Linked DNA regions of Mus musculus. The protein of the gene in region 2 purifies or fractionates together with the protein of the main gene of each other region. This does not show direct contact. Links are inferred from orthologs where the notes say so. Each region holds a gene or a part of one and is shown on either strand. Other genes may lie near its edges.

The links.
Region 1: the proteins of Psmg4 (region 2) and Psma5 purify together in Homo sapiens (co-immunoprecipitation; 3 studies listed by BioGRID and IntAct, with this or other methods). This does not show direct contact. The link is inferred for Mus musculus from reciprocal best matches to the Homo sapiens genes PSMG4 and PSMA5.

The regions. Positions count from the first base shown.
Region 1 is NC_000069.6:108,257,340-108,273,244, reverse strand, and holds part of Psma5 (proteasome subunit alpha type-5), read right to left. Parts: intron 11,560-15,905; coding exon 11,493-11,559; intron 8,180-11,492; coding exon 8,053-8,179; intron 6,813-8,052; coding exon 6,745-6,812; intron 5,453-6,744; coding exon 5,345-5,452; intron 5,213-5,344; coding exon 5,154-5,212; intron 4,418-5,153; coding exon 4,315-4,417; intron 955-4,314; coding exon 868-954; intron 1-867. UniProt on the Homo sapiens protein: Component of the 20S core proteasome complex involved in the proteolytic degradation of most intracellular proteins. This complex plays numerous essential roles within the cell by associating with different regulatory particles.
Region 2 is NC_000079.6:34,156,120-34,172,553, forward strand, and holds the start of Psmg4 (proteasome assembly chaperone 4), read left to right. Parts: upstream 1-6,844; 5' UTR 6,845-6,956; coding exon 6,957-7,130; intron 7,131-9,941; coding exon 9,942-10,017; intron 10,018-16,434. UniProt on the Homo sapiens protein: Chaperone protein which promotes assembly of the 20S proteasome.

The DNA.
Region 1 (15,905 bases), on a different chromosome or scaffold from region 2:
TTTTTATTATTTGCCACATCCCCTATTCCACAACCAAAGAGAGAAAAGAAAAAAATCCTGTTTGATTTTACTAGGCTGGGGTGAGAACCCAGGGCCTTGTGCACTTTACTGTAGAGCCACACCCAGTCCTATGACCCTTGGCAATGCTATTGGTCTCTTTTCCTGGGGTAGCACTTTGGCCCCTCCTCCAGACATCAGCTCTTCAGGATGCTTCCTCATATCCTTCTCTAGGCCCATGTTCACACGGAAAGCTGTTCTTACTGATGAGTCCAGAAGTTCTACCCACACCCTTATTACCTATGTGTAGCATAGCACAGCTCTTAGCTAGGGACTGGATTTCCTATACTCTTTCTCTGCACCTGTCATACTTCCTAAAACAAAGCTGGCTACATGTATTAGCATCTCGAGAACAATTAATTTTTGTTGTTATTGTTTTTGAGACAGGGTTTCTCTGTAGCCCTGGCTGTCCCGGAACTCACTCTGTAGACCAGCCTGGCCTCGAACTCAGAAATTCGCCTGCCTCTGCCTCTCAAGTGCTGGGATTAAAGGCGTGCGCCACCACTGCCCGGCTTGTTTTACTTTTTGAAACACCTTTGTACTGTCTTCACCCCTTTACAATTTCCTATCATTAATCTCTTTATGTCTCTTTAGTGCTGTGTTTCTGCTGACATTAATCAGCCCTAAGAAAGAAGCACACCCAGTCCTTTCCTTCATTCTTAAATCCACTGTACTTGGCTCCCATCATCACCACTTCATTAGCACTGATTAGGATGCAAATGCTATCAATGACGAAAACACAGATCAGACCAACTGTTTTTCAGACAGTCGTCTCAGCAAGGGCGCGAGGCGGGCGGGCGGGAGCAGTACCTCGATGTTGGTTGCATTCAGCTTCTCCTCCATGACTTGCTTGAGGATGATGAGCGAGGACTTGATGGCCTCCTTCAGAGTCATAGACTTCAGAGAGAGAGAGGAGCTGTTAGTTGAACGTGATTCCTTCCTTTAACCCTCCCCGCATCTCTCTGCAGAAACAACTTAGCTGATATTAATAAACCTTACACCTTATTTGTATAATGTAGTACATTATATAATAATGTAAATATTCAAGGATATATACTTAGAAGAAAAATGTCTCACTAACGCTCATCTAGTAAATCATCTTTGAGAAAGAGGACAGGGCTGTGCGTCCCTAGTATATGCTTATCTCAATTCCATGATCTAGAGGATGATATAACCTGGTGAACAGCCTAGTAATATCCAAGTGACCTAAAGAGGGCAATCCAATGATTCAGAAAATCCACTTTCCATTTTATTTCCTGTCTTAGGGTTCCTATTGATGTGATAAACACCATGACCAACAGTACCTTTGGAAGAAAGGATTTATTTCATCTTAGAACTCTCAGGTCACACTCCATCACTGAGGGAAGTAGAGGAAGGAAAGGTAGCAGAGGCTATGGAGGAATGCTGCTTACTGGCTTGCTCTTCCTGGCTTGCTCAATTTGCTATCTTATACATCCCAGAACCACCTGCACAGAGGTGGCACCACCTGTAGTGAGCTAGACCCTCCCGTACTAATCACTAATCAAGAAAACATCCTAAGGATTTGCCCAAAAACTAATTTGATGAGGTATTCTCTCATTTCAAATTCCTCTTCCTATATGGCTCTCACTTGTGTACACATACACACACAGCACTAACTAACATTTAATTTTCTCTACATATGAAAGCTATATTACAAGCAAACCGCATTTTATTGTGCTTTGTTGTGCTGCACTTAGCAAATACTGCAGATCAGTGGCAACCTCATATTGAACAAGCTTACTGGTAACATTTTCTAAAAGCAATGGATTATTCTGTGTCTGTTATTTCTGATTAATTCTCACAACAGTGTGATCTGTTTGGTAACCATTTTTCCTCTCTTTAGTGTCTGTATTTTCAGGTATGTGCAGATGTGTGTGTGTGGGGGTGTTTGTTGGGGGGGGGGGGTTGCACATGCACCCAAGTGGAAGTCAGAGGACAACTTGGATGTTACTCCACAGATACCTTTTTGAAATCAATCTCTCTCTGGTCTGGAATTCACCAAGCAGGCTAGGCTGCCTACCAAGTCAGCTCCAGTGAGCCACCCGTCTCTGCCTCCCCAGCACTGGGATTAAAAGCCTGTACTACAGACGCCTGGCTGCCCCCTCCATTTTCCAAGAATTTTTTTTTAACGATGTCCATCTTTGTGTGGGTATACACAGGAGTGCAAGTGCCCTCAGAGACCAAAAAAGGGTGTCAGATTCCCTAGAGCTGCAGTTACAGGTGACATGGGTTCTACGAACCAAACTCGAGTCCTCTGTGAGAGCAGTTTGTTCTTACCCACTGAGGCACAGTTCCCATGGCTTTATTAATGTGGTTTCTGGGGATCATGCTTACAAGAGAAGCACTATACTAAGACAGATCCTGGAAACCTAGCAAGTCACTTGTGGTGCTATTGCCGTAATTGCTCGAGTCCCACAAGCCACATTACAGGAATCAACCTTGACAAATGTAGCAGATATCCTCACTGCTGTACTGCCCATCTTTTGGAGGGATTTTTCTACATTCCCAAGACAACAATACTGAACGAGGTCAATCTAAGGATGTTACTACAGTAAAAGGTAGAGTCCCATGCTTCCCGCTTTAAACCAAAACCTGAAAATGAGAACGCTTAGTCCAGTTTATCAAGATTTGAGTTAGGCTGAAAGCTAGGCCTCTTGTGCCAAATTAGTTAAGCAAGCTGTGAAAAGGGAAAGAAAAGGCCCCTTTTTAAAAAGCAATTTTAACAATGTACAGCCTCATGTATTTGTGCAAGTGATCTTCCAGGAGCTACAGTCCCAGCCCTCCCTTTCCCTTTTATATTAACATAAGTTTAGCTGATAAAGCACAGAAAAGCCTGAGCATCAATCAGTTTGGAATGAAAATTCTGTGCATAGACACTATCACACACTCTCATTCATATACTACACCTAATTTTTCATGAAAACAACAGTTCGTTGATGCCACAGACGCTCCTGTATCCCCGTAAGAAGCTGTCACAGCTACCTAACCCTTAAAAGCCACCAGCACCATAGCAAAAGAATTACAATTTGCTTATCATTTTTAGTGGAAAAAAATTGCAATTAAATTGTGAAAAGCTTTCAGACATAATGCTACTTACTACACACTGTGTTGATTTAAATGAGCAATATTCCCACAGGTTCTGATATCTGAGTGCTTGGTGCCCAGTTGGTGGTACTATTTGGGGAGGCTTAGGAGGGATAACCTTGCTGGAGCAAATATTCCCTGGGGGCAGGCTTTGAGAGCTTAAAGCGTCACCCTACTTCCAGTTTGCTTTCTCTTCTTTGTGCTTGCATTGAAACTGTGAGCTCTCCTGCTCCTGGAGCCTTGCATGCCACTTGCTGCCATGTATTCCCACAATGATGGACTCTTATCCCTCTGGAGTCATAAGCCCAAATAAATCCTTCCTTCTATAAACTTCCTTCTATAAACTTGGTCATTGTGTTCTATCATCGTGATAGAAAAGTAACTAATAGTTACAGTATAATGAAAACCTAATTTTTGTATAGACTTATTTATATGCCAAACCTAAAATACCTCTTAAATACGCCTATGTTAATATGAGCAGAGATTCCCTATGTGACCCACCTGGGTGTGGCAGCCTTCAACCATAGAAATGAACTACAAAAACCCAAATCTTCCTATTCTAGAAAGGAAGTACCAACTACTCACTTGCCTCAATATCCACACTAGGCATTATTAACTGCTAAGTGAAGCTGTCAGGATAGAAGACAAACATTGTGCTATAGTCATAGCATGGCATATTATTCAGCAAAAAAAACAAAACAAAACTAACCTAACAGTACAATAAGAAAGCTAGGCTTGGTGGCATATTCCTTTAATCCCAGAGCTAGGAAAGCAGAAGTAAGAGGATCTCAATGAGTTTGAGACCAGCCAAGTCTACTTAGCAAGTACAGTCCATCTAGAACTACAAAGAGAGACCCTGTCTCAGGAACTAAAAAAGATCAGTGGTAAAGCACATTAGTGTAGAAAGCCAGCATAAACTCATAACAACCAAAGTGGCAAAGCTGTATTAATTTCACTTATGAAAAGGACAAGAACAGACAAATCTATACTGGTAAATAGTTGCAAATGAAGAGAAAGATGAATAAGCACTTTGGCAGATAAATTGTGTTCTGTGTCTTGTTTTAGGTTGTGATTCCAGGTCTATAGTTTTACTCACACAGACGTTAAACACTGACTTTAAAGATTGCAAGAACAGTGAGAATGATGGATTACCTTATGGTAAACTTCTTGCAAGGAGCTCTGGGCACCCTCAGAAGCAGAGCCAATTGCTCGAGCATCACACTGTACAAAGGTCCCAGATGGGTCCATGTGAAACCTGAAAAGACATCAATGTTTAAAAGGGCGTCTTAAGCCACAAATACCTCACTAAAAGAAGTATAAGCATTTTACCCTGGAGCCAGGACATGCCACTGCAATACTGAGGCACAGCCCCTAAAGACTTTTTATTTTGAAAAAACAGTTCTTTTAAAGGGTCCTGACTAATGATATACACATCTGTGTACATATGGAAATGTTACAATAAAACCTATTTTATGTGCTAAACAAAAAATTCAAATTTAACATTAAAATTTAAACATTAAACTAATTTTTAAAAAAAGAAAACATTAATAAAATCATGAACTTCCTCAGGATCTTGGGTGAGAGAATGACAGAGAGTATACATCACCATGGCACCTATGTCCACCTAAGACATCAACAGGAGAATGACCACGTATGCCTATGTCAATCTTATGTGCTACACCGATGTGAGAGTGAGCACCACATGGTAACAGCAATGAGGCAATGTGTAAGCTTTAGAGAATTAGTGCTGGCTAGACAGAGGCTTCTTCATGGGTCCCAACACTGGTATAAACAGCACAGAAACACTGGCTCAGAAGTCCTACTTTTCATCAATTTTTGCTTCTTTCCTTTTATTTTTTTATCTCATTTATTCATTCACTGGTTGGTTGGTTTTTTGAACAAAGTTTCTCCGTGTAGCCCTGGCTGGAATCGAACTCACGTAGATCCACCTGCCCTGCCATCCCAAAGCAGGGGTGGGAAATGGTACTTACAGTTGGGGTCCTTTCTCATCAACTCCTCCAAACAACAATGCTACTCCAAAGGGACGAGACTAGAACCAAAAAGAATTAATTTAGAAGAGGCAACAAATAATGAGAGTCCTCAGAAATGTGTGCAGAGGACAAATGTTCTCAGTCCCCCAGAACAGCAAGCAGGCTCAGCACAAGCATCAGAACTAACTCACCATAGCACCTGGATCTGCATCTTCTTCTCCAAACTGCAGAGCCAGATTGGACACAGCCTGGGTCACACTCTCAACTGTCATTGTCTCATTATAGGTGAACCAGTGGTTCTATAAAAAGGGTAAAGAATGATACTGCTTCTTGGTAAAAAGGAAACTCACACCAACCATCACCTCGTGCTCACATGCCTCTTCTGTTTGGGACAGGGTCTCTCTGAATGTCAGACCCAGAACTTACAATCCTCCCACCTCAGCCTCCCAAGAGCTAAGACAGACCACCTGCCCAGATCAACATGTTTTTGTTTTTGTTTTTTGAGACAAGGTTTCTCTGTGTAGCCCTGGCTGTCCTGGAGCTCACTCTGTAGACCAGGCTGGCCTCCAACTCAGAAATCCACCTGCCTCTGCCTCCCCTGTGCTAGGATTAAAGGCGTGCGCCACCGCTGCCCGGTTTAACATGCTTTTCTTGACTAACACTAGCCACTGAGTGCTTGGGTTATATCAGAAGAGGAACAGCTCTGACTGCCAGATACGATGGCATATGCCCATGATCCCCACCCTCAGGAGGATGGTGACTTTTAAGGCTAGTCTGAGCTGGTCACAGAAAGACCATGTCTTAAGAGGGAGCAGGGAAAAATGAAGAGGAGGAGGACAGAGGGAGAGGGTACACACTGATAAGCTCTGGAAATAAGGATGACCTAGAGGCTGCTACCCATGCAAAACAGTGACACCTAAAAACAAGGCAGCAAGTTTAGTTCTTTCACAAAGTCAGTGTAAATATCCAAGTGTCAATTTTCTTTAGACACTCACCTTACCTTGTTAAGAGTTTATGTTAAATTATTACTAAGTATAAAGGACAAACTTGGAAATATGTGCAAAAACTACCTTGTGATTAGTTGTTTCCCTTATTAGCCTACTACAGTCAAAGCACAAATAGCCAAGGATTTGCTTATGGGTTTTTGTTGTTTTATTAAAAAAACAAAAAAAAACCCCAGCATTCCTAACCTGAATTTGTCACCTGGCACAAATCATTGCTTACCAGATGAGAACAACTTTATAAGCCTGGCAGAAAAGGCAGCTGTCAGGATACCCTCTTTCTATGACCACATCCCTCTATGATGGCCCCCAGGTAGTTAATCAGGGGATACAGTGTATGCTTTACACAAGGTGAGCCTAGAAGAAGTAAGAGGCTGTAGGCCCTATTAACCAGAGCTTGCTTTCTGTTGCAATGGCTGGAGAGCTAAGTCCTAAGTCCCGAGGTGTTTTAGCAGGGGAATGGACCCAAAACTCTCAAGAGCCATGTCTAATACGGGCACAGACATTGCAATGTAGCCTTGGTAGCTCTGTCATCACTAAACAAGGACTGCATGCATCACAATGAAAAGCAGAGAAGATGTTGATTTTACCTGTGTCTCCACTCTGGCTTTATCAATTAAAGTTTTAGCATCAGCAATTAGCCCACTCATGGCACAACCTGCAATATAAAAGCAACAGTGACCAATCAGCCAAACACTCTACAGTTTTTCATGCCCATCCACTAAGTAAATACTCTCCTTTCTCTACTCCTGGTCTTCCCTGCTGTGGACACAGATGGTCACAGATGGATTCATCATGATGATAGTAAACCCTCTAAAACTATGAGCAAGCCAGAAAACAAGTTCCTTCTCTTAAGATGTCAGATATCTGGTCACAGTGTAGTAAAAGTAACTAAAACTCATGACCACTGGGCCCAGACAAAACTCTTTCCTTCATCACATCCTCACTGAGTGCACACTGTGCACCACCATAAATAAGACCATCAGTTCCCGGAAGACACGTACCATGCCTCCCTCTATATAGCCACGGAGTCTAACAAGATTTTGTTAATCTTTCTCTGTTGAATGAAGTGATACTAACCTACCTCCAAAAGACAGTTGACCTGAGATACGGCAGACAACATTCCAACTCTAAGATCTGTTTCTCCAGCTATGAAAGGGAATACTAAGCTCCCAGTTACCAAAGCATTTAGCTCTTATGGCCTTTGAGTAATTAATTACTTTGCAAATGTTGTAGTAACTGGGTTGAGTAGGTAAGATAAGCAAATTTGGATAGCCAATTACAATATAAAGCTGTAACTGTAAAAGTATGTATCTTTTAATGTTACATTGTCAAGAGCCAACAAGAAAATTATACTAAAGACAAGAGAAAAGACAGAGAGGGCAGGAAGAGATCAGTTAAGTCTCTCACACAGAACAGGCTGGTCTAACATGACTCCTTTAACACCCTGAACCTTATACACTTTGAAATCTTTGAGAATTACTTTTTTTCTCAGTGGACATTACATTTTTCCACACTATTTCCGCTCCAGCTAGCTTACTACTAGGGTAACATGCATGAATTAAAACACAGCCATCACAGGAACTAGCCAAAGATCCAACCTTAATGTATTAAAGTATAATATTTGCCAAAGATCGGGTTATATTTCAGTGGTAGAGTGCTTGCCTAGCTTGTGAGAGTATCCTGGGTTCAATTCCAAGCACTACAAAAAGTAAAATAGATGAAAAGGCTTTCTGGTAGTAGGTTAAGCCTCAGTTTGGTCCTGAGGCTGCCTTCCACTGCCTAGATTTACGTACTGGCCTCCTGCCTTGAACAGAAGAGCTGTGTGGCCTCCCTTGGATCACAGAAGATTAAGTAACCCACACCAGATCCTATAGCAGCTCCCACTCATCACTCACCTATATGAGCATCGATCTCTACAATCTTCTCAATGCTGCTAGGCTCCATTAGTGGGGAGGTAATTCTCTTCTCCACAGCTAGACATACACCCTCTGAGGTCTGGATGCCAATGGCTGTAGAACCAAGCTAAAATGAAACAAAAACAAAAACCATGCTGTGGTTATCACACAGCTTAAAGAAATCCTTGCACAGCTTCATAAGCAGAAACTCAGTTATCCATACCTAGGATGCAGGAAGAACAGAAAGCATCTAACTGTTCCCTTGACTAGCAAAAGCATTTACAGAATCCTGTACATGGGCTTAACCTCAAATGAGCAAGGATTGGTCCCCAGTCTATAAGGTCAGAACACATCTGAAAATTTCTATGTTAGCACTAGCACTGGGAGGAAGAATTCTAAAGTTCTAATCACAGGTTTTTGTTTGTCTTCTTCTGGAACGGTGGCTTTTACCTCTGCCATCTATGAGTCTGTCCAATAGTTATGCTCCCCAAACCCATGTCACCCAGGGAAAGAAAAGAGGAAAGGGATAGGGACAGAATAGACGCCATCCTCAGTAACCACAGGGAAATACTAACTTAACCCAAAGTCACTAGCAGTCCAGTGTAGTAAAGTCACCGTTTCACCTGTGTCACCTATACACCTCAGCACTATGAACTCAACTATCTGCAGAATGAAGACAGTCCTGATAGCTCCATAGAGAAAATGGTGTCTACCATATAATAAACAAGTGTTCCTGTTACATGCCCCCACCGCCCAATCTATTCCTTGTGAAATGGTCTCATAGAATTCTAGCCAGGCTGAAATTTTCTGTGTAGACTAGGTTTGTTTCTGCCTCCTAAGGCATGAGCCACACTTAGCATCTTTGTCTCATATTTAGTCTTTTGCTCTAAATGTATCTTTTATTGGTACACTGAGGGGAAAACTGTGATTTTTACTGTATTTCTCTTAAGAACTGATGCTCTCTGTATTGCCTTTAATTAAAAACCAAATGAGCTTCTCATAATCTAATGATGCTATCTTTCACCTCCAACTTTATTATTAACTGACTAACCCCTTAGGTACAACACAACTGTTCAAAGTATTACATTACTAGCAGCAACACTACCACCTTTCCTGAAGCTGTCTCCTGTGGAATGTACTCTCCTTCTGCCTCTCCAAATGTATCCACTCGTCATAAAGTCGCCTAAGACCATGCTTTATTCCCTGGATTCCCACTACATCTACTTATTTCTATATAACAATGACCCGCCAACTGTGAACACTGATTAAACCTGATATTGTTAAAAACAAACAAACAAACACAGAATTCCATAAATCTTTTTAAACGTTTTAATTCACTTTTATTTATGTGTTACTTAGTGTGTACGTTCCCTTATGTGAAATCCTGCAGAGGCCAGAAGATGTCAGATCCTGAGGCCTAGAGTTACAGGGTTGTGACCCACCCAACCCGAGTTCTGGGAACTCAACTCTGGAAGAGTTCTCCAGCCCATCCAGGAATCCACACAAAAAGCATGGTTTAGACTGAATGTGCTCAAAATAGTTCTGATTTTTTAAAAATTTATTTCATGTATATGAACACTCTTATCTGCATGCACACCTGCATGTCAGAAGAGGGCATCAGAACCCATTACAGATGGTTGTGAGCCACCATGTGGTTGCTGGGTATTAAACTCAGAACCTCTGGAAGAGCAGTCACTGCTCTTAACTGCTGAGCCATCTCTCCAGCCCCAGTCAAAATACATGACATGAAGCACCTTAAAGGAGGAAGGCCTGGTGGCAGGAAAGGGCAGCTGCTAGTCACACTGCGCACACCATCAGGAAGGACAGACAGCGAGTGCTAGTGCGCAGCAAGCTTTCTCTTTTTATCAAGCACAAGAGCAAAGCCCAGCTGCTGTGGCCCTCAGTGAGGGTAGGCCTCCCCACCACAGTTAACTGGAGGCTTTCCTCCTCGGTGATTCTAGGCCTGTTAACGAGTACATCATGTCTCATGCATATATATTACTCTCAAATGCTCACAGTATGGCCCAACCATGAAAAGTTCTACTAGCACAACTACTGATAAATTTGACAAAAATTGCTATGTGTAAGCTATTTGAGAGGTTGCATTGACTATGTCCAATCCTCTAGGCAACTGTGGGTGGCCAGAGAACAGATATGCAGAAATTTATTCCATTATGAAAAGTGTGTAGATGATGCCTATCAGATGATGCCCATGTTCTCAATAGAAGGTGATAAAGGAACTGAGAGTGGGGCTGGAGAGATGGCTCAGCAAGCCAGAGAACCTGCTGTTCTTGCAGAGGACCTGGGCTCAGTTGGCAGCATCCAAATGCTGGGTGGAACAGAACCATACATAATCAGCACTCCAAGGGTCCCAGTGTCCTCTTCTTGCCTTTGAAGGCACACTACACATGTAAATATAGGTGAGGAAAAACACCCACACTCATAAAAATAAAAATTAATCTTAAAAAAAAAAGAAGCTTTAAGTGCTGCCTCAGAGAAGTTGAAATTAGATGGTATAGCCTAAAGGATTGTTTTTATTACATAATTTATAGAGACATCTTAATCTTTGATTCTAAAACTACATATGTGAATATCCTAAAAATTTAAAAAAAAAAGAAAGAAAAAAGAATGAGAGAGGAAGAAAGAAAGAAAGAAAGAAAGAAAGATAGATAGATAGAGGAAATCTAAAACTATTGCCCAGAAAATTAAACCTAAAACTTCCGTGTTCTCTAACTGCCATATTTTTTAAAATTTGGGCATAGATTGGACCCAGGGCTTCTCTTCTGCTAGGCAAACACTCTACTACTGGGCTACATCCTCAGCTACCCACTTGAAATTGTTTACTGAGGATCCTGAATCCTCAACTGAACAAGACAGAAACAATTCACATCTACGTTTAATTTTTTCTACTAAAGCAACTCTTAAGTGGGGACTCTCTTTCCCAATACCAACATTCAACAAAGCCTGCAGACATTTTGCTTGTATGGAAGGGTAAACGCTGTCATCTGATGGGCAGTGGCCCACACCAGAAGGTCCACAGTCCAATCATGTACAAAATCTGCTTTCATAACACAAAAACACTGTAAGCGAACAAGAGCATCAACCAACCAGTCCCCCCAGAGCTCCCAGGGACTAAGCCATCAACAAAGGAGTACACATGGCTCTAGCTGCATATGTAGCAGAGGATGGCATTGTTGTGCATCAATGGGAGGAGAGGCCCTTGGTTCTATGAAGGCTGGATTGATGCCCTGTGTAGGGGAATTGAGGTGTCAGTCTACTTAATTTTGGATTCTAATTTTCCAAAAATTACAATTGTTATAAAAACAGTAGTTGGTTAAAGGAATGTGAGACTATTTTCTAAAAGAATGGCTAAAACACTCCTTTTAGCACTATGTAAGGCTGTTATGAAATTTCCAAAAATATACTACTGGCTACTATACCTTGATAGCCTCAATGGCATATTCCACTTGAAATAATCTTCCTTCAGGAGAAAAAGTATTCACACCCCTGTAATTAAAAAAGAATAAAAACTATATTAGAAACTGTAAGAAGTATACAGCAAACCTTTCAGTCTTTTGGTGTACCAACTGTTTCCAAGGCCCACAAATCTGCCCAATTCCCAAACCTGACCAAAGTTTTACCAAACTGAACAAATGAAAGCAGGTGACTTGAATCAATCGGGATGAATTCTGAGCCAGCCAACCAATTCCTTTGATAAATGTGTGCCCCAAAGCTATCAGGCCATTTCCAAGAAAATGGACTTTTTCCCCCCTTCCCATTATGTACATTTGATGTTGCTATTTTTTGTAGCAGTTAATGTACATTTTTCTACCTATTCGTATGAGATAGTATCACTGCAGACTGAGATCCACAGGTGCCAAAGTCTATACAGCTATGCCAGACTACTTTACTAACTACATTAATGTGCCCCTCGTTTGCACTAGGGTTGCTGATCCATGCAGAGAAGAGACACAAGCATACTGTTAGCTATAGCTTTCAGCACACAATTACAATTTTAAAAGTTTGTGAGTAAATTAATACAAATAACTGTAATTCTTAGTTCATGAATTCTAAACTTCACAACAGTATACATAAACTACTGTTTCCAAATTCTGTTTTGTTGTTTTGTTTTTTGAGTTTTTTTGAGACAGGGTTTCTCTGTATGGAACTCACTCTGTAGACCAGGCTGGCCTCGAACTCAGAAATCTGCCTGCCTCTGCCTCCCGAGTGCTGGGATTAAAGGCGTGTGCCACCATGCCCAGCTTCCAAATCTGTTTAACCAAAACTTTCTTCAAAAGAATTGTGACATTGCATACACTAGCAAGCGTTTGTTGCAAGGATGGTGATATAGCTGTCTCTAGTGAGACTAGGCCGGGGCCTGGCAAACACAGAAGTGGATGCTCACAGTCAGCTATTGGATGGATCACAGGGCCCCCAATGGAGGAGCTAGAGAAAGCACCCAAGGAGCTAAAGGGATCTGCAACCCTATAGGTGGAACAACAATATGAACTAACCAGTACCCCGGAGCTCTTGTCTCTAGCTGCATATGCATCAAAAGATGGCCTAGTCGGCCATCACTGGAAAGAGAGGCCCATTGGACATGCAAACTTTATATGCCCCAGTACAGGGGAACGCCAGGGCCAAAAAATGGGAGTGGGTGGGTAGGGGAATGGGGGGGCGGTGTATGGGGGACTTTTGGGATAGCATTGGAAATGTAATTGAAGAAAATACGTAATTAAAAAAAAAAAAAGAATTGTGAGTGTGTGTGTGTGAGAGAGAGAGAGAGAGAGAGAGAGAGAGAGAGAGAAAATCAAATAAATTGCTCAAAGTTACTCCTCAGCATAAAAGCAGAATCAACTCAAGAAATCCTACTTAACCAAGGTTTCAACTACTCTACTTCACTGGGAATTATTCTCACCACCCAGTCCTCATTCTCTCCTCGGCCAACAGATCACAGAGCACAGCTGAAAGCTCTCGGAAAGAAAAACTGTGTCAGAAAACTCTGACATTGAGCTGGGGACCAGCTCAGTTGTAGAGCTCTGGCTCTTGCCCACTATGTATGAGCCCCAGGTTACACACACACACACACACACACACACACACACTCACATACACACACACACACACACACACACACACTCACACTCACACTCACACACACACACACCCCGACACTGAGAACCAGACTCACCACTAGCTTTCAGGAAAAATAAGAAATGGCCCTGCCTTTGTGATAATGTAAGTAAACTGCAGAGAACTGAAAGAACCCTATAAACGGATGTGACTAAATGTTTCTGCACCCCGACTTGGAAGCATTATCCTAGTAAGCTCTGTCTTCATCCTCCCAAATTTCCTGCTTACTTGGGTTGTTGCATATAAATTAAAACCGATCATTCCAAATTTCTACTTCCAGTTTGACTTTTACTCAGTTAATCTAAATTTGAAACAAGTCCCCTTGAATAGCCCAATTACAACCAACATCCAACATTTTCCAATCTGAAATATAACCCTTTAAATCTAATCATTCTGTAAAACCAACTCCTCTTTACCATGCCCATTATTTTCAAACAGCCCCAGCTTCTCAGTTCCTCACAATAGAATGCTCTGAATGATGACTCACTCTCCCTACCGTCCCCTTTGTCCTACCATATGCTAAGTCATGCTAACTCCTATCAGCGCCTCCTCCATGGTAACATCACTTCCATCCCTATGTCCTTGTTACCCTTTACCTAACTATTGTAAAAGCCTCCTGACTGGTGCCAACTCGTTCTTCCAATCAATTAATCTTTATAAAAACAACTGTGATGAGGCAACTCTTTAAAGAAAATATGAGAGACTGACACAGCTCATGAGTGTAACTCCAGAACTCACAACACTCAGGCAGAAAAGATCGTCCCAAACTCCAGGCCTCGTGGCTCTAGGTCACCCTGGGCTATAGATGAAACCTTGTCTTTTAAAACAAAAACCAAAAAAGACCCCCCCCCCCAAAAAAGAGAGAGAGAGAGAGAGAGAGCTGGGTCAGCAGTTAGGAGCACTAGGGGCTCTTCCAGAGGAAGCTGCTGCTCTGACTCCCAGCACTGACATCTTGGCTAAAACCCACCCGTCACTCCAGCTCTAGGCGATCCAACACCCTCTGGCCTCAAAGGACACCAGGCATGTATATGGTACATGGACACCCCCAACTGATAGCACACAGTGCCTACAGAGTGAGGTCCAAATTCTAAGTCTATTGAACCATCAGTATCTGGCACCATCCTGTTTTTTCCATAGCACCTACTTGTCCCATAACATGCATCATACATATGTGGTAACCAGCCTGGACTTTTCCAAATGTGTTATGCCTTTTCCTCACTGGTCCCCCTTGTTCATCCTTTATTATCTGTTCGTTCTCATGGTCTTGGTTTACTAGAAATCCTACTTTCCCTGGACCTATCTGAATTATCAGCTTCTTTGTGAAGCTTTCCCCAACCTCCAACAATGAATGCAGCCTCTCATCAGAACGTCCAGTGCTGCCTTAGATTCCTCTAGTAACATCAATACATTTCTGTCTCACATTACAGTTACTGTTGCAAACAGGAGGGTAGAGATCTTGATTCTGCTCACTGCTGTAAAACCAGCTCCCTAAACAGTGCTTCTTGAACACAGCCAACGCTCAAGAACATTAGCTAAATAGAGGCCTGGGCTTTATTTAGTCTTAGCAAATACAAAAGAAAAAAATCCACAAAGCAACTAGTTCATATAAATAAATGGGCAAAGCTCAGTAAAGCCTTTCAGATGAGGATCACAATTTTCTTAACATTTTATCACCTAAAGATGACTCTCTTCAATACTCTGGAAGCCAAGTGTTAACGACCATTTTACTTGACAACAGGAAATAGTTTTAAAACTTCACCGATATTTTCTGAGTCAGCAAAAGGATGGAGATTAATATGTATGTATATATGTGTATATATAAGTATGTATTGAGCCTGTCAAAATTGTGGCACCTGGAATGACATATATATATTTTGACAGGCTCAATACATACTTGCCAAGAAAAGTAATTTCTCAGTGGTAACCTGGAACTAAGAAAATGTCTGCTTTCCCTAACTTTTAAAGGAACCCAGTGGTTTGCAAAACTGCTCAAAACAGAAACTGAAAGTTACAGTATCTACAGCATTTATGACAGTATTAGTTAGCATTTTCGAGACTTGAAAGTTTTTAGGTTGTCTGCTCTTTTAATAAACACAACCACACAGCTTTGACTTTACAAAACATTTAGCTTTCAACACAACACTAAAATTAACTTGCTTTCAAACCTCCTCTCACATACACACACTTTGGTCAAATGGAATCAGTGTATTAAAACTCTTCTGAGAACCACTGTACATTCAAGTTCCCACAAAACCAGATTGTAGGCAATATATTTATCCGAGCATAGCTGAAAACTGCCTTCGCTCTTCAAAAAAGATTAAAATGTACAGCACAGGACGGATTCCTACAAACTCATCCAATAGTCTCTGGTAGCTTCTATTCAAGGAAACTCCTTTCACTTTTCTTTTTCCTAAGCAGTCAGACTTAGGTTGAAAAGACGGACGCAAGGCTGGTGTCCCCCTAATCTACTCCAGGTTAAAGGTCCCGATCCCTCTCCGCCGCCTGCCCCAAGCAGCCCCAGCCTCTCGCTTCCGCGGGGAGTCAGGATTAGCGGTGACTCAGCGGGACAAGTGCAACGGGTCCGCTGCAGTGTAGCTTGGGGAATCTCGCCGGGCGCCTCGGGAACCAGATTCCCCGGGTCCCGCCAGACTTAGGTTCTCCGGGCGCCCCATGACACTGCAGAACCCAGGCCGCGGCGCGGGCCCCAGGCCCGCCCACCC
Region 2 (16,434 bases):
TAAGCAGAGATTCAAAGGCAGTTCAAGGATGAACACTGCCAGGCTAATGCTGAGCCAGCTTCCTACAGCCCAGGACCACCTATGTGGAGTGAGGTGCACCCTACTGCATCAAAGAACAATCAGGGCAATCCCTCACAGATTTGCCCGCTGTGCAGTTTGAATGAAAATGGTTCCCATAGGCCCAGAGGGAGGAGTGGTGCTTTTAGGAGGTGTGGTCTTGTTGGAGTAGGTGTGGCCTCGTTGGGATAGGTGTGGCCTTGCTGGAATAGATGTAACCATGGTTGTGGAGTGTGTCTCCTCTTCCTGCTGCCTGCTGATCTCTGAATGTAGAACTCTCAGTTACCTCTCCAGCACCATGGGGAGTGGGGGTGGGGGCTATTTGATACAAGCCACTAAATTTAGGGCAGGAGGAGAAACAGAAATAATAACTGATAAGGCCATGCCTTTTCAGGCAGGAGGTATCGGCACCCAGCTATTGTGCTATGGAAGGCAAGCTCTTAAGTGACAAGCTGAGTGTGTGTTTTTAATCCGTGGGTCTCAGGAATGGGGTGGTAATATGACCCCTCCAGGAGCAAAGGCAGATGGGAAAGAGAAGCTGGCTCAGTGCTAGTGGGGGCCTATTCCAGAACAAAGGGGAGCCGGGAGGGGCCAGAGCAGGGCAGCTCCCGAGCAGAGGCGGTAGCTTGTTTTTAAAACTACACGCAACATTTTTTCACTTGTTCACTTTGGCTGAGTGATAGTAACTTTAGAGCTTTCCATTTGGCTTTCTCCACTTGGTGTGTGCCAGCTTCCCAGTGTATCTGTCTCAGTTACACATTTAGGGAGCAGGGGAGTGACTTGCAGTGGATCTACAGACAGAATGGACTCTTGGCAGGACGCCACTGCTGCTTGGTTCCCATATGCCCCACAAAGCAGGACAACTATGGTGATATTTTAGCTTGCCAGGTCTCATTCTAACTCTGATGCTTGACACTTGTAGGCCTTCCTATTTCCCTGGTGCACTTTTGCCTGAGTGGCCAGTGGTCCTTTGCGGGAAGGGCTGAGATAATCATTACTGTTTATACTTTTATGGCACAAGGGGGCTTGATTGCCATCCAATTACTGAGTTCCAGGCACGGGCGCCCAATAAAGGATCATTCTCATTGGTTGGAGATGATCGCATCAGGCCAAAATGGCCTTTATGCTGACATATCTTTGTCCCATGTCATATCAGGCACATGAGCCACTTTATTCACTGAGCCAAGGTCTCCTGCTGAACCCAGAGCTCATCAAAAACTCTACCTCTAGGTAGACTGTTTGCCCTGGAGGACTCCTGTCTCTGGAAGACTGGGATTACATGTGGGCATCCTCGGCATTTATGGGGGCGCTGGGAATCTGAAATCAGGTTTTCATGCTTACAAAGCAAACACTTTATCCACTGGGCCATTCTTCCTGGCTGCTCCCTCCAGATTTGGGGATTATTTTTACTGACGCACATTATATTTGTACAACGGAGTTTCATTATGATATTTCCATGCATGCATCCAATGCACTACGACTGTATCCTTTCTTTCTGTACTCCTTCTTCTGCCCCTGCACCATTCTTTGTGGATTCTTCACCTGCTGTTTCATTAGAGGAGATTCCATGTCTACTTCCCATCTTCCAGGAATGTGCTAGAATCCTTTGCCTGTGGGTGGCACTGTTCCTGTTCGTTGAATGGTTGCTGGGTTGGCTCATTTACTATCATGATTACACTGCACTACAATCACTAACTCAGTGATTTGATTCTTAACTCTATGATGGTATGACAGGCATATGTATTCAGAGAAACTGTATTTGGAATTTTATATCTGGAATTTTGCTGAGATAGCAAAAAGCAGTTCCTTCTTTTCTGGTGAGGTCAGGCAGATCCCAGTTGACCATGAAGGGGTCATGCTGACACTCCATGGTAGGCCATGGCTCTAAACTGGCATGCTGAGGTTAGGAGTTGCACAAGCATTTTCTACCTATGATGGACATGATAGTTCCTTTTCTGTTGCTGTGATAAGATACAAGGCAACCTATAGAAGAGTTTATTTGGGGATTATAGTTTCAGAGGGTTATCATCCATTGATGGTGGAATAGAGTTTAGCAGGTGGCTAGAGCTGAGAGCTCAAATCTTGGCCTGCAAGCAAAGGCTGATCATACACCAAGAAACCTCAAAGTCTACCTCCAGTGAAACATACACCCAACAAGGCCATACCTCCCAATCCTTCCCAAACAGTTCCACCAACTGGAGACCAAGTATTCAAACATATGCCCCTATGAGGGCCATTCTCATTGAAGCCACCCTAATGGGTTTACTGAGATGTAACTCCTTGGAAATATCTAGAGTGCTATAACAATGTTTTGGAGTGAGCAAAGGCTTGTCATCATGTATCTTCTTTGGTAACACATTTAGTCAACTCTTTACTTCTTCTTTTTCTCTTCCTTTTCATCCCCCCCCCCCTTTTTTTTTGAGACAAAGTCCTACTAGGTAACTATGTAGCTTTGGTTACCCTGGAAGTTCATAGAGATCCACCCACCTTTTTCTGTTTTGTGATTAAAGGCACAAGCGCCACCATACCTGGTTTAGGCATGAGTTTTTTTAAAAAAGATTTTTGGTTTTTTTTTCAGATGGGATCTCACTATATAGCCTGTGCTAACTTGAAAATTTCCATGTAGCCCAGGCTAGCCTCAAATTCATGATCCTCTTGCTGCCAGAATACTGGGATTACAGGTTTAAATGTTTGGATTTGTTTATTTTTGCATTTGTTTATTTTTAAATAAAAGCCATTTATTTTATGTGTGTATGTGTTTTGCCTACATGTATGTTTGTATACCATGTATATGCCTGGTGCCAATAGAACTCAAAAAAGGTTGTTGGAATTGAAGTTAGGCAGTTATAAGCTACCATGTGGTTGCTGGGAATTGAATTCCTGTCCTTTGAAAGATCAACCAGTCCTCTTAATCACTGAGCTATTTCTCTAGACTCACCCATTTTAAAATTCAATGTTAGTTTTTTATTATTATGTTTTGGGAATTATTTATATATCCTGACTGTAAATTCTATATAAGACATCTACTCTATAAATATTTTTCTTTTAGACTGTGGCCTGTCTTTTCACTTTCTTACTGATTTTTAAGAGCAGAAACATTTGATTTTGATGCAGTCCAACTGACCAGTTTGTTGTGAATCATGTTCTTCTTGTGAAATCTCTGTCAGATCCCAGGTTCCCTCCTTTGCCTTTCTCTGTGTTTCTTAGTTTTAGGTTTTATGTTGAGGTTTATGAACCATTTTGATTCCCTTTTGTATATGGTACGATATGAACTGAGGTCCCTTAGCTAATAAGAAAATACAAATTAAAATAGCAGTGTTGTTCCAGTACATGTCTATAGAATGGCTACTTGGAAAAGAATGGCTGCACTATACCATTGCTGTCTGGTGAGGATGTGATGGACCCAAAGCTCTCAGGCACTGCCAATGGGAATGTAGACACATGTGGGGAGAGAGGCAGAGGCAGAGGCAGAGGCAGAGGCAGAGGCAGAGGCAGAGGCAGAGGCAGAGGCAGAGGCAGAGGCAGAGGCAGAGGCAGAGGCAGAGGCAGAGGCAGAGGCAGAGGCAGGTGTGTTTCTAAGTTCGAGGCCAGCCTGGTCTACAGAGTGAGTTCCAGGAAAGCTTGGGCTGGGCTATCCAGAGAAACCCTGTCTCGACCCCCCCCCACTCCTCCTATAAAAGAAAAGAAACAAACAAACATGTGGGGAAATAACTTAGCATATTCTTAAAAGATGCAAATATACAATGGGAGGAAACAGCCATTCTACTGGTAGGTGTTATATGTGAGAAGCAGAAGCACACAGGGCTTGGTTGTATACATATGTTTATAGCAGTTTTACTATTGAGAAGGCTAGGTTGACTCCATGACAGGCTTCAAATTGGCAGTTCAGGAGATGAGGCCTAATTCTCTGTTTCCAAGAACTGGGCAAGTCCAGGCAAGTCCAGGCCTCAGAAGCTGCCCTACCACCTGGCCGGAGGCAAGGGCAATGGGTCAGCAGCAATTTCCAGACTTCCTCTACCAACAGTTTCCAGAACTCCCCACAACAGTTTCCAGCCCTCACACCCTGGTAATGGAATGTCCCTAGAGATAGAGCAAGATAAAGGTCACCTACCCATAGAATCCCCTAATCAGGCTTTTGACCTCACTTGGTTGTCTATATTGCTGGACTTCTGCAGAATAAAACATTCTTTGCATTACATACTATTTGAGTCTGGGGTGTCATTCTTTAGTGAATCATGGACTCTTCCACTATAAAATTTAGAAAAATGACTGAAACAACCCACATGAACATCAACCTTTGAATGAATAAACAAATGGTTGTATGCACACAATAAAACACAGCTCGGTAATAAACGGAGTGAAGTGCTGATCCGTACAACTTGGGTGGGTCATATTCTAATGTATGAAAGAGATAACAGTCACATGTGTGGTATGATTCTATTTATATAAAACTCTTGAAAATGCTCAGTTACCTATAGCAACAACATAGACCAGGGGATGGGTGATTATGCAGGGATTTGAGAGGGATACTAGACTTGTCATTTTGACTATGATAGTGGTTGCGTGGGTTATACAGATGTCAAAACTTCAGTACATATATTTTATTTTAGTAAAAAAATTTTTTTCATACATGTATAGATCTTTTTTCTTTTCTTTCTTTCTTTCTTTCTTTCTTTTTCTTTCTTTCTTTCTTTCCTTCCTTCCTTCCTTCCTTCCTTCCTTCCTTCTTTCTTTCTTTCTTTCTTTCTTTCTTTCTTTCTTTTTTTTTTTTTTCTGAGACAGGGTTTCTCTGTGCAGCCCTGGCTGTCCTGGAACTCACTCTGTAGAACAGGCTGGCCTCGAACTCAGAAATATACCTGCCTCTGTCTCCCAAGTGCTGGGATTAAAGGTGTGCGCCACCACTGCCTGGCACATGTATAGAACTTGATCACATCTATCCCCCTCCCTTCCTTCAAGCTTCTCCACCCCCTAATTTAAACATCTGAAATATGGGCAAATAGTCATGTTAATGTTAATAATTATACTTTAATAAAGCTGTCAAAATATGACCAGATTCACTGATAATTAGCAAATGGAAACAGAGTATAAAGAACACTCTACTATATTGCTAGTTTTGTGTTAGTAAAATGAAATGTCGGAGGCAATTAACTTTATGAAGAGGAAAGATTCTAGTTTACAGTGCTAGGAGGTTCAAGAATACAGTATCTGTGCTGGCCGAGCTATGGTGAGGACTTCATAGCACAAATGTCACAGGAGCACAAATACAGGAAGAGGTCACAGCCTGAGAAGAGTAGGCAGGAGGAGGATGGGTGTAGCAGGGTGTAGGGGTTGCACGGGTGCTGCTCTGTATTTGAATGCTAAGTGCTGGTCCCCCCAAATCTGGATGCCTCCTGATGAGATCCTCCTGTACCAAATGATGTAAAGCTTGCCCCCCAACTTATTCCTGATTGGCCAATAAAGATGCCTACAGACAAGGCTAGGCAGAACAGAGTGGGTGGAAAAATGGATTCTGGGCTTGGGGTCTGAGATAAGGATGAGGTGGAAGAGAGAGGAAGAAGGAAGGAGGTCACCATGGTGTTGGTAGATCATGGGCACATGGTCAAGAGGACCAGCCTGATGGAGTAGGAATGGCCCAGGCTGAACATGGCCAGTGACATCTCTGGGATCACCATAAGAAAATAGGTAATATAGCATAGAGGGCTGATATCTGCCTAGCTCTAGTGCTTTTAAGCTTATTATAAATCTAAATGTTTCTGTATCTTTTATCTGGTAATGATATGGTCTGAAGTGGGGTAGAAACCCCCAATAGATATTTAAAGGTAACAAGGGGGTGTAGTAACCCCCTCCCCCCAACCCCCAACAATATTAACCACAAAGGCTGGGCTTGTTGCTTTTATAGTAATACCTCAGGAGCTCTATCACAGGAATATTTCCTTTTCCTCAGTGACTTGGGTCTTCCAGACAGGGCCTATCCCCTGATCTCCCATGATATTCCATAATCTATCTCCCTTGGGGACTAAGACATCTCACAGTGGATCCTCGGAGGGTCCCAAACCATACTCAAATCACATCACATTTTAAATCTCAATTTGATCCACTAAGAGTTACAGGAAATTTAAGCAGACTCTTTGCAGTTCCTAGAGTCTCCAAGTCTACTGTAAAAAGCTTGACAAACCGGGCAAGTTTTTACGCCTCTCAACCCACCAAGGGACTCATTCCAAACACTTTAGTGTCCCAGTAATTAAAATTAAAGGGTCCCAGGGCAGATATATCACCACCCTCCACAGGGCTTCCCTCTCTCACATTCTTTCTCAAATCTTAAAGGCTCCCTACTCATATTTCCATTTTGTACTCGAGGAAAGAGAGACAGAGAAGTTAAAGGGTTAGATCAAGACCCGAGCTTTACATGATAGCAGCTCAGGGTGTGCCTGCCTGTCTCTGAAGACCCTGTCCTCCCGCCATGGTCTATGCAGTTCTTTTTTACAGCTTTCTCCCAGGATCATTGCTGTTAAATTATGTTAGCTAGGTTAGAGACTTGCAGAGGTGGGCCTGGGAGGTGGTGGCTGCTAAAGCGCTCAAATTGTGTCCGTGTCTGGGCAAAGGAAGATGCTGAGAGTGGTTTCAGTCCACTAACATGCGCTCCTGGGAAGAAGGAAAAAGGACAGAGGTAGTTCAGTGGGTTCCTAGAGATCGCTGGCAGACTCCTAGGCGAGGCTGAAGGTACCAGGCTAGAGCAGGCGGAGGCCCTGTTCTAGGCCCCGCCCACTCATGCTCGCCCCACCCCACCTCGGCGCGCGCATCTGAAAGTGAAAGAGCGTTCCGCTTTTCGGAGCTCGCTCTCTCTGGTCTGGGAGCCCGCGCCTGCCCGGTCTCGGTGCTGTGGCCCGGTGGCTGGCGGGATGGAGGAGTCTCGGGCCGCTGCGGACGCGGACGTGTCGCTTCACAACTTCAGTGCAAGGCTGTGGGAGCAGCTGGTCCACTTTCATGTCATGCGGCTGACGGATTCGCTCTTCCTGTGGGTGGGAGCAACGCCGCATCTACGCAACCTCGCAGTGGCCATGTGCAGCCGCTACGTGAGTGTGGGCGGGGCCAGGAACTTGATGGCGATCTGGGGGCGGGGCCTAGCCGTAGTTGGGGGTGGGGTTGGGGGGACCGGTGGACCTCAAGGTGAAGGATCTGGGGTAGAGGGTGGGGACCGCTAAGAAGGGTTTGGGAGGAGAGAGACCAGTGGGAGTGAGGCTGGTCGCATGCGGCCCTGAGAGACATTCTTGAGGAGCTTCAGTGTGCCCTGGGGTCCTATTCTGAACACCTCAGGCTGGAGTCTCCTAGGGCTGCTTCTTGACTTGCGGGAACCCCGGAGTCAACCCACACGTGGACCACCTTAAAGGGAACTCATCCCAGCCCCTGAGCTCTGAGCTCACCAGAACATCGGCTCTCCTTGCACCAGCTTCCTGACATGTGCGCGTGCTACGTTTTACATTTTACATTGGGTTTAGACAACTTTTGTATTGAACTTGGAGCTTAGATTTGAGTGTCTGATAGGTACTTGACCAACAAACTCAAACCTTCCCCTTCTGTGACCTTTCATCTCTGTATGGGCAACTCTACCTATTCTGAGTGCTCTCTGGCTGTCTTTGGCCTTTCTTTCTCTCACAGGTCACGTGCCCAGAGCCTCTCCATCTCCAGGATAGGGGGTTGAATCCAAAGCTTTGCATGTGCTATGCAAATGCTCCACCACTGAGTTAAACTGCCTGTCCTCATCTCTTCCTTGAACACACCACTCATATTGGATGAAGGACTTACCTTACCCTCGGATGAGCTCACTTTGTGTGGGGGGCACATGCATATATATGCACCCAAATTTAGGAACATGCATGCACGTATGCATGCATACCATACACACTACATATAAGCAAAAAGATAAAACAATAAGATAGATCAGGGATTGCCATTCCTCTGCTAAAGACCCTTTGAGATGAATTCAGAGTATGATACTGAGTTTCTAGTGATCCCCACAGGGCCTGTTGCTTCTTAGTGTTCTTCCCTGCCCAGTTATTCCAGTAGTACTGGCCTCTGAAGTTTTAGTGATATAAGGTGAGGTTAGTGTCTAGTACCTCTCAGGCTGCTCATTAAGTCACTTGGTGAGTTGTTGAGACCTCTTCAGGGCGTCCTTTAAGTTGTAGCCAGTCAGGCAGTAAGGTCTTACTTCGTAATCAGGTTCTACTAAAACATGGCCACATCTATCTATGCAGGTGGAGAGTATGGCAGCTCTAGTCCTACTAGCGGGCTTGTGGCTGCTGACACCTGAATTATTTTCTTTGTGAGCATTCATAGAAAAGTTGTGCTGGTCCATGGAGGACAGTGTTAAAGATCATGTGTGTGTGCTCCTCCCTTTGCCCGCAAATTTGTTCTGGCCACAACAAACTTTGGAGAACACAAATCACAGGATGAAGTTGCTTCTCTAACTGGCCTGTCTGGATAGCGGCAGGGGTTTCAGTACCCAGGAGGGATGATGCCAGCCAAGCCAGCCTGAGGGTGGCTGGCCTGGGATGGAAAATGGTCCTGACCTATGGCAGGGAGTTGGAGGAGGTGCTCCCACCTTAGTAAATGTGTCCTTGAGCATGTGTCTATGGAGACCAATTATTTGACAGTAATTAATTATATTAAGAACAGTAACAAGATGGGGCTTAAAATTTTATTTTTGGTACGAAAAAGCCAGCTGGTAAGGTAGATTTACTTCAGTAGGCTTCAGTGTAAACACTGTACATTTCAGCTAAATGTTGAATTAAGAGTCTATAAAGAACAGGTTTATGATTATATTTTTGTATCAAACAAAAAGATAGAAATTGAGTAATTTTATACTGTTCTTTTTTTCTTTTTAATCTTGTTCGGTATATACCTGAAGAAATTCTGAAAGTGACCTTAAGTTCTTAAGAGATGAATTATATAGTCTCTGCCCTGCCACACTGTCTGGGAGATACTCAATCTGTTAAGTTGTCTCAACCTGGACAGTGAGTGAGGCAAGTGCACCAGACCTGAGCAGGTTAGTGAGAGGGCCTTTTCCTAGTCAAACAGCTGCTTTTTTTTTTCCTTTGGTGCCAAATATTGAACCCAGGACCTCGTGCATGCTAGGCAAGCACACTACTGTGTTTATACTTCATTGTTTCTTAGCCAAAACAAGATCGGTCAACCATTTCATACAAGGCTTTAACTTGGCTCTTTGGATACTGATAGCTGGTGTCTTTTCAAAGTTCTAAGTCATTTACTAACCTTCAGAAGTCCTCACAAACCATGCTCTTGTAGGCTTTCCTGCCGAAGGCAGGCAACTTGCTTCTTAGCTGGGGAACTGAACCAGACATCTAGAGACCCTGATCTCATTTCTTGTTGTGGGCTTACTGAGTTTGTTGGCTTCCCTCCTGGTCGGAAAGCCCGTCAGCGTACTTTGGAGTTTGGGTGTTTTTTTTTTTTTTGGTTTTTCGAGACAGGGTTTCTCTGTATAGACCTGGCTGTCCTGGAACTCACTCTGTAGACCAGGGTGGCCTCGAACTCAGAAATCTACCTGCCTCTGCCTCCCGAGTGCTGGGATTAAAGGCGTGTGCCACCACGCCCAGCTACTTTGGAGTTTGTAACACAGAAACAACCCCTGTATGTGAAATCAGTCTTAGAAACCATTAGCAGCTCCATGGGTCCCGTTACAGGTGGCTTCTGTCTGCCCTAGTTCTACTGTCTAGTCTGTGTCTAGGTCACCTAGCTTGGCTGTAGACAAGTGCCAGCCACTAGGGACAGTTGTACGTCCTTTCCTTGCCTTGTGTGGAACCCAAAGCTGCCCAGCTGACAGTAGGAGAATCCACAGTATGTTCTTTGTTCTTTTTCTTCTTCTTTAGGACCCCATCCCTGTGTGCACCTCCCTTTTTGGAGACACTTCTGATACAACTTCCACCGGCCTTGCTCAGCGCTTAGGTATGTGCCCAAGGCTAATGCTTTGACACTAGCCGGATGTGACCCACGGTTTCATGTCCTAGGGTAAATGCCCTCAGAAGTAAAGGATCTGCATATGACAGACGACTGCCTCGTTGGCACTGGAAGCTGACTTCTGTCCCATGGTCTTTTACGGGACACATCTACACTTACCTGTCTCAACTGTTTCAGTGTTATCACGATGCCAGGGAACTTTCCAGAACTTTCACCATCCTTCTTGGTTCTCCCCTTCAATCCATGAGCTGATTTATTTTCTTTCAGTGAGTGTAGCATCTCCTTGTGGGAGAAAATGAATCCTGCTCAGCGGCAACTACTCAGGGTGGCTCCCTGGGCCTCTTGGCAATTTCTGTAGAGCCTGGTAGATGTCACTACTGCAGGGAGGACTGTTTCTCCGTCTCAGTATGACAGGCGAAGAGTTTGGTGAAGTGAACGCAGAGTAGCTGTTTAGTGAAGAGTGTGAGGGTAAAGGCTCCCTCCTTCCACATGTGCTTTTTAAAAAAATTACAAATACTCAGGTGATTTAGGTCAGAATAACTTATGTTCTGTGATCCCCAGTCCCTGTTTCCCATGGCTGGTATGGACAGGATGCCTTCAACAATGGCTCAGTCTTGGACAGGATTGTTATTAGACGCGTTCTCACGACCGGCCAGGAAGAACACCACAGACCAGAATCTTCTGCGGCAAAGCTTTATTTCTTACATCTTCAGGAGCCAGGGTGCAGGAAGCAAGAGAGCAAGAAGCAAGAGAGCAAGAAGCAAGAGAGCAAGAAGCAAGAGAAGAGAAAACGAAACCCCGTCCCTCTTAAGGAGCATTCTCCTTCGCCTCGGACGTGTCACTCCCTGATTGGCTGCAGCCCATCGGCCGAGTTGACGTCACGGGGAAGGCAGAGCACAAGTAGTCATAAGATACCCTTGGCACATGCGCAGATTATTTGTTTACCACTTAGAACACAGGATGTCAGCGCCATCTTGTAACGGCGAATGTGGGGGCGGCTCCCAACATCTCCCCCTTTTTCTTTTAATAAGAGCAAATAGGCCACCCATATTAATGAGAGTGGAGATAGAGGTCAAATCCCCAGTGTGTAGGTAAAGGAGCCATGTACAGGATTAGCTCTTAGGCTTACAGGCTTTTACCCAGAGCAACCCTGACCTGCTCCCGTGTCGTTTTGCCTGGGGGAAGGGAACTAGGACACTGAACCTTCTTGAAAGATGACATGTCTCCCTAGAATAGGCTCATATATGCCGCAGAGCCTTTCCATTGCAGTGCTTAGCCTTGCAACTCTCTCGGGCTGCTGAAGCACACTCACTCTATCCCGTGCAATGAGTCTAGCCTCATGGGATATAAGAGCTGAGTGGCCAGCGACCTATTGCCTAAGCATAGATAACCATATATCAGGGGGAGCTCCATGTTCTAGTCCTGCAAGCGCCTGGGCAATAACCACCTTGTCTCTCCTAATTTGGGCCTTAAGCTTACAGACCAATCAAAGAAGCAACACTAATCCACAGCAAAGTGTATCTCCAAATAATATTAATCCCACCCATTTTTTAAAGAAAGAAAATGCTGAGGAGATCCAATTGGGTAATCCTTTGGTCAGGGACAGGTCCAAGCGCGTGGAGTTGACCTGAAGTCTCAATTCCCGAAGGATCTGTTCAAATTCAGCCATCCAATTCTGTAACATATACTGAAAAAGACTTTTTGACAAATTAGCTGTCCTAGTAAATTTAACATACTGAATGGAAATAACACACAATCCCGGAAACTTTTGTTCACATCCCAGCTGAGTTATTTGTCATAATACATCTAGTTGTATCTGGACAAGATCTATGAGTTGATTAACCAGCATGAGACCTCTCTGTATCTTGACATTAGCTGAGGCCTGTTCATCTATGACTGTAGTCACTGAGGCTGACAAAGTGTTAATGGTGTCAGTCATCTGGACCTGTCCAGACAGAGCCAAGGCTGTCTGAATTAAGGCCAAACCCAGTTCCTAGTTAGTGGTAAAAAAGCAGGAGAATACTTGAGCATTATACATCACCGTCATTGGGAGTGGGAATGTCGACATTATCCCCCAACGCTGCTCTCTTTTTATTATTGACGCCCTGGACATCACCAAGACGAGGGACATTAGTATTCCCTTGGTCAGTCTGGATTTTTCGGGTGAGTCTTTCTGGTACCCAAAATGGGTTGTCTTCATTCTGTGGGAAAACACAGATAGCTCCCCTGGATCTTATCAAAATAGGATCCGGGCCATACCATTTATTATCAAGGACATTTTTCCATTTAACCATCTCATTGGGCCTATCTGGCTCTGAACAATGACGTTCAGCCGCAGTATGGCCATGAGCATCAATATTTAAAAAATTGAGTGTAAAGAGTGCCAAAGACACCGACACTCTTGGTGCTCGGGGTACAGTCTCCTCAAAAGTTCCCCTCTTCTGTTTTATAAGATAGGCTTTGAGGGTGCGATGCGCACGCTCAACAATACCCTGTCCTTGAGGGTTGTACGGAAGTCCAGTCAGGTGGGTCACGTCCATCTGACGGCAGAACTGTTGGAATTTTTGAGACGTATAAGCTGGTCCATTATCAGTCTTAAGGAGTCTGGGTTTCCCCCAAGCACTCCATGCCTCAAGACAATGTTGAATCACATGTGAGGCTTTTTCTCCGGTTAACGGAGAAGCAAACATGATGCCAGAACATGTGTCAATGGACACATGGAGATATTGAAGTTTTCCAAAGGAAGAAACATGTGTAACATCCATTTGCCAGACCTGTAGAGGTCGAATACCGCGTGGATTAATTCCCACATGAGGAACTGGCAAGAACTCACAGCAGCTTTGACATTGAGTAACAATGTCACGGGCTTCTTTTCTTGTCAAGGAGAAACGACTGCGTAATGTTTCAGCCGTCACATGAAAATTGTTATGAAAATTTCTTGCAGCCTCTACCGGGGATGATAGGGCAGCAGCCACCACTTTAGTGGCCTTATCTGCCAAATCATTTCCCAGAGCCATGGGGCCAGGTAGGCCTGAATGGGCTCTAACATGAGTAATATAAACAGGAGATCTTCTAGATAACAAAACTAATTGTATCTGCTGAAAAATATTGGCAACTCTACTGGAAGGCTTAATCACTCCAGCCACTTCTAAAAGATTTACTGCATTAACCACATAATAGGAATCTGACACAATATTAAGGGGTTTTAAAAAGGTTTTTAAAACTTCTAAGACCACTAAACATTCTACCACTTGAGGTGAATTTTCATTATACTGTTTGGATACCACTTTACCATTAGCCACATAGGCACCTATGCCAGTTTTTGATCCATCAGTATATACCACAATCCCATTTTTAAGTGGGTTTCTTACTGTTATTTGTGGAAACACAACAGATTGATTTTGGGCAAACTGTAAGATTGGATGCTTTGGATAATGGTTATCTATTTTTCCTGAAAAGGAGGTAACTAAAACTGCCCAATCATTAGATGCGGCTGCCAAGGTTTGAACCTGTGCAGCGGTATAAGGTACAATTAAAAGATATGGACTTTGCCCAAAGTGGGTGATTGCTGCTTTTAGACCTTTAAGGGCAAGCTGTGCAATTGCATCAGGATACCAATCTATTATTTTAGCTGGGGATACGTTTGGATGGATCCACAACAATGGCCCATTCTGCCACAAAACTGCAGTTGGCAATTGTGCTGTCTTAAAGACACACAAACTGAAAGGCTGCGAATCCTCAATACGTTGTAATTGTGCATTCTGTAAGGCTTTTTCCACTTTTTGTAAGGCCTGGTTAGCAGCTAGAGTAAGAGTCCTAGGGGAGGAGATATGAGGATCTCCTTCTAAAATACTAAACAAAGGCCTTAACTCAGCGGAAGGAATCTTTAAAAAAGGTCTGAGCCAATTAATATCTCCCAACAGCTTTTGAAAATCATTTAAGGTATGGAGGTGATCTCTTCTTATCTCTACCTTTTGGGGCACAATCTTATCTGGGGACACCACAGAGCCCAAGAATTGTCCTGTATCAGAAATTTGGACCTTTTCTGTGGCTATCTGTAAACCCCACTGACTTAAAGTTTTAAGTAGAAAAGGATATGCCTTTTGTAGCATGGTAAGGTCTTTATGGCACAGGAGGATGTCATCCATGTAAAGGAGCAAAATTAAAGAGGGGAATTGTTCCCTCACTGGCAAAAGAGCTTCTTGCACATAAAGTTGACACATAGTAGGACTATTGGACATTCCCTGTGGTAAGACCTTCCATTGATACCTCTTATCAGGTTCCATGTGATTAATAGAGGGGATGGTAAAGGCAAATCTGGGCCTATCTCTTGGACACAAAGGTATAGAAAAGAAACAATCTTTAATATCTATAATAATTAAATTCCAGCCACGTGGTAAGGCGGAAAGTACAGGGAGACCCCTCTGTACTGGGCCAAATAAGTTCATTTGCTCATTAATGGCTCTGAGGTCATGGAGCAGTCTCCACTTTCCTGACTTTTTCTTAATTACAAAAATTGGAGTATTCCAAGGTGAGGTAGAGGGTTCAATATGGCCTAATTTTAATTGTTCCTCTACCAGTTGAATCACAGCTTCTAGTTTTTCAGAGGATAGGTGCCATTGAGGAACCCACACTGGGTCCCCTGTTTTCCATGGTATGGGTCGTGCTGCCCCAATGGCCGCTAAGGAAAACCCAGACCCTGTCTGTCTTGGTTTCCATTAGGTGAGATGGGCTCTATCCTTCCCTGTTCTTGATGTCCTAACCCTTTTCCTTCTTTATAACCCATCTTTGCCATGATATTTTTTGCTTTAGTTGAATACCCTCCCGATGGGGCGTTTTCATTGGACAAAATAAGGCCCAGATGCTGCATAATATCCCTTCCCCAGAGGTTAACCGGGAGTGGGAGCACATAAGGTATGAATTTCCCTTGCTGTCCTTCAGAGGATTCCCACGTCAAGGCAACGGAGCTTATAGTGGGACATGATTGATATCCTAGGCCCTGTAATGAATGAGATGACTCTGTGGTGGGCCATGCTTTGGGCCACCAATGTGTAGAAATTATACTTTTATCTGCTCCGGTATCAAGGATGCCTTCAAACTCTTTTCCGTTGATCTTAAGGCGGAGCTTAGGTCTATCATTTAAAGATACAACCAAATAGGCAGAATCATTTCCTGAGGAGCCCATTTTCTTTATCTCAGGTCCTGCAGATTTCTCCCTGGTATTATCAGGGAGGAGCAGCAGCTGAGCTATCCTATCTCCTTTACTAATAGAAAAAACGCCCTTAGGGCTTGAGCACAGGACCTGTATTTCAGGGGAATGTTGACAATCCATAACTCCAGGGTGGACTACTAAGCCCTGCAAGGTGAGTGAACCCCGGCCGAGAATAAGGCCCATGGTTCCCGGGGGCAAGGATGGTATAGGCTCCACCGGCACCGGCTGAATACTCATTTGAGGCATTAGTAGGAAGTCGGAGGCGGCACGCAGGTCCACCCTTGTGGGTCTTCCTGGGTCGCCTCTCTGACTGCTTCCTGGGTCCTGACAAACCGGTTCCCATATCTTTGAGGGCCCTGGGACCGAGGGCCCGATGACCCGTTTTTTGGCACATCAGTTGATTGACTATCAGGTGGGGGAAGGACTCTGCCCTTTATATCCCTCACAGAGCGACACTGGTCAGCTCTATGATAACCCTTGCCACACTTAGAGCAAAGAGTGAGAGTCCCTCCCTGTTTATCTGGAGCTCTGCAATCTTTCTTAAAATGCCCAGGCTTTCCGCAGTTAAAACATGTCCTCTGATCATTTCTGCTCATGGAGCGGTTTTGGGATTGAAGGATGGCAGCCGCTAAACCTGCATTGCTGAGAGGTCCCCCAAGCTCTCGACAGACCCTGAGCCAGTCTTGTAAGCCTTTGTTCTTTCTTGGGGCTATGGCCGCTCGGCACTCCTTTGTGGCTTGCTCATAGATTAGCTGTTCTATTAGAGGCGCAGCTTGCTCTGACTCTCCAAAAATACGCTCTGCTGCCTCTGTCATTCTGGCCACAAAATCTGAGAAGGATTCCTGAGGTCCCTGGATTATCTTTGTTAACTGACCAGTGGTTTCACCTGCTCGAGAGAGCGCCTTCCAGGCCCTAATAGCCGTGGAAGAAATCTGGGCATAAGCTCCCCAATGGTAGTTTGTCTGATCAGCAGAATAAGCTCCCTGACCCGTTAACAAGTCAAAAGTCCAATCTCTCTGCTCTGGAGTCAAAGCAGCTGCGTTTGCTCGGGCCTGCGCTTGTGCAGCTTCGTGCCAAAGCGCTTTCCATTCCATGTATTTGCCCATACTAGGGAGAGCGGCTTTTACAACCGTTTGCCAGTCAGCAGGAGTTAGTGCCATGCCAGCGAGCCTGTCTAACTGCACCAAGGTAAA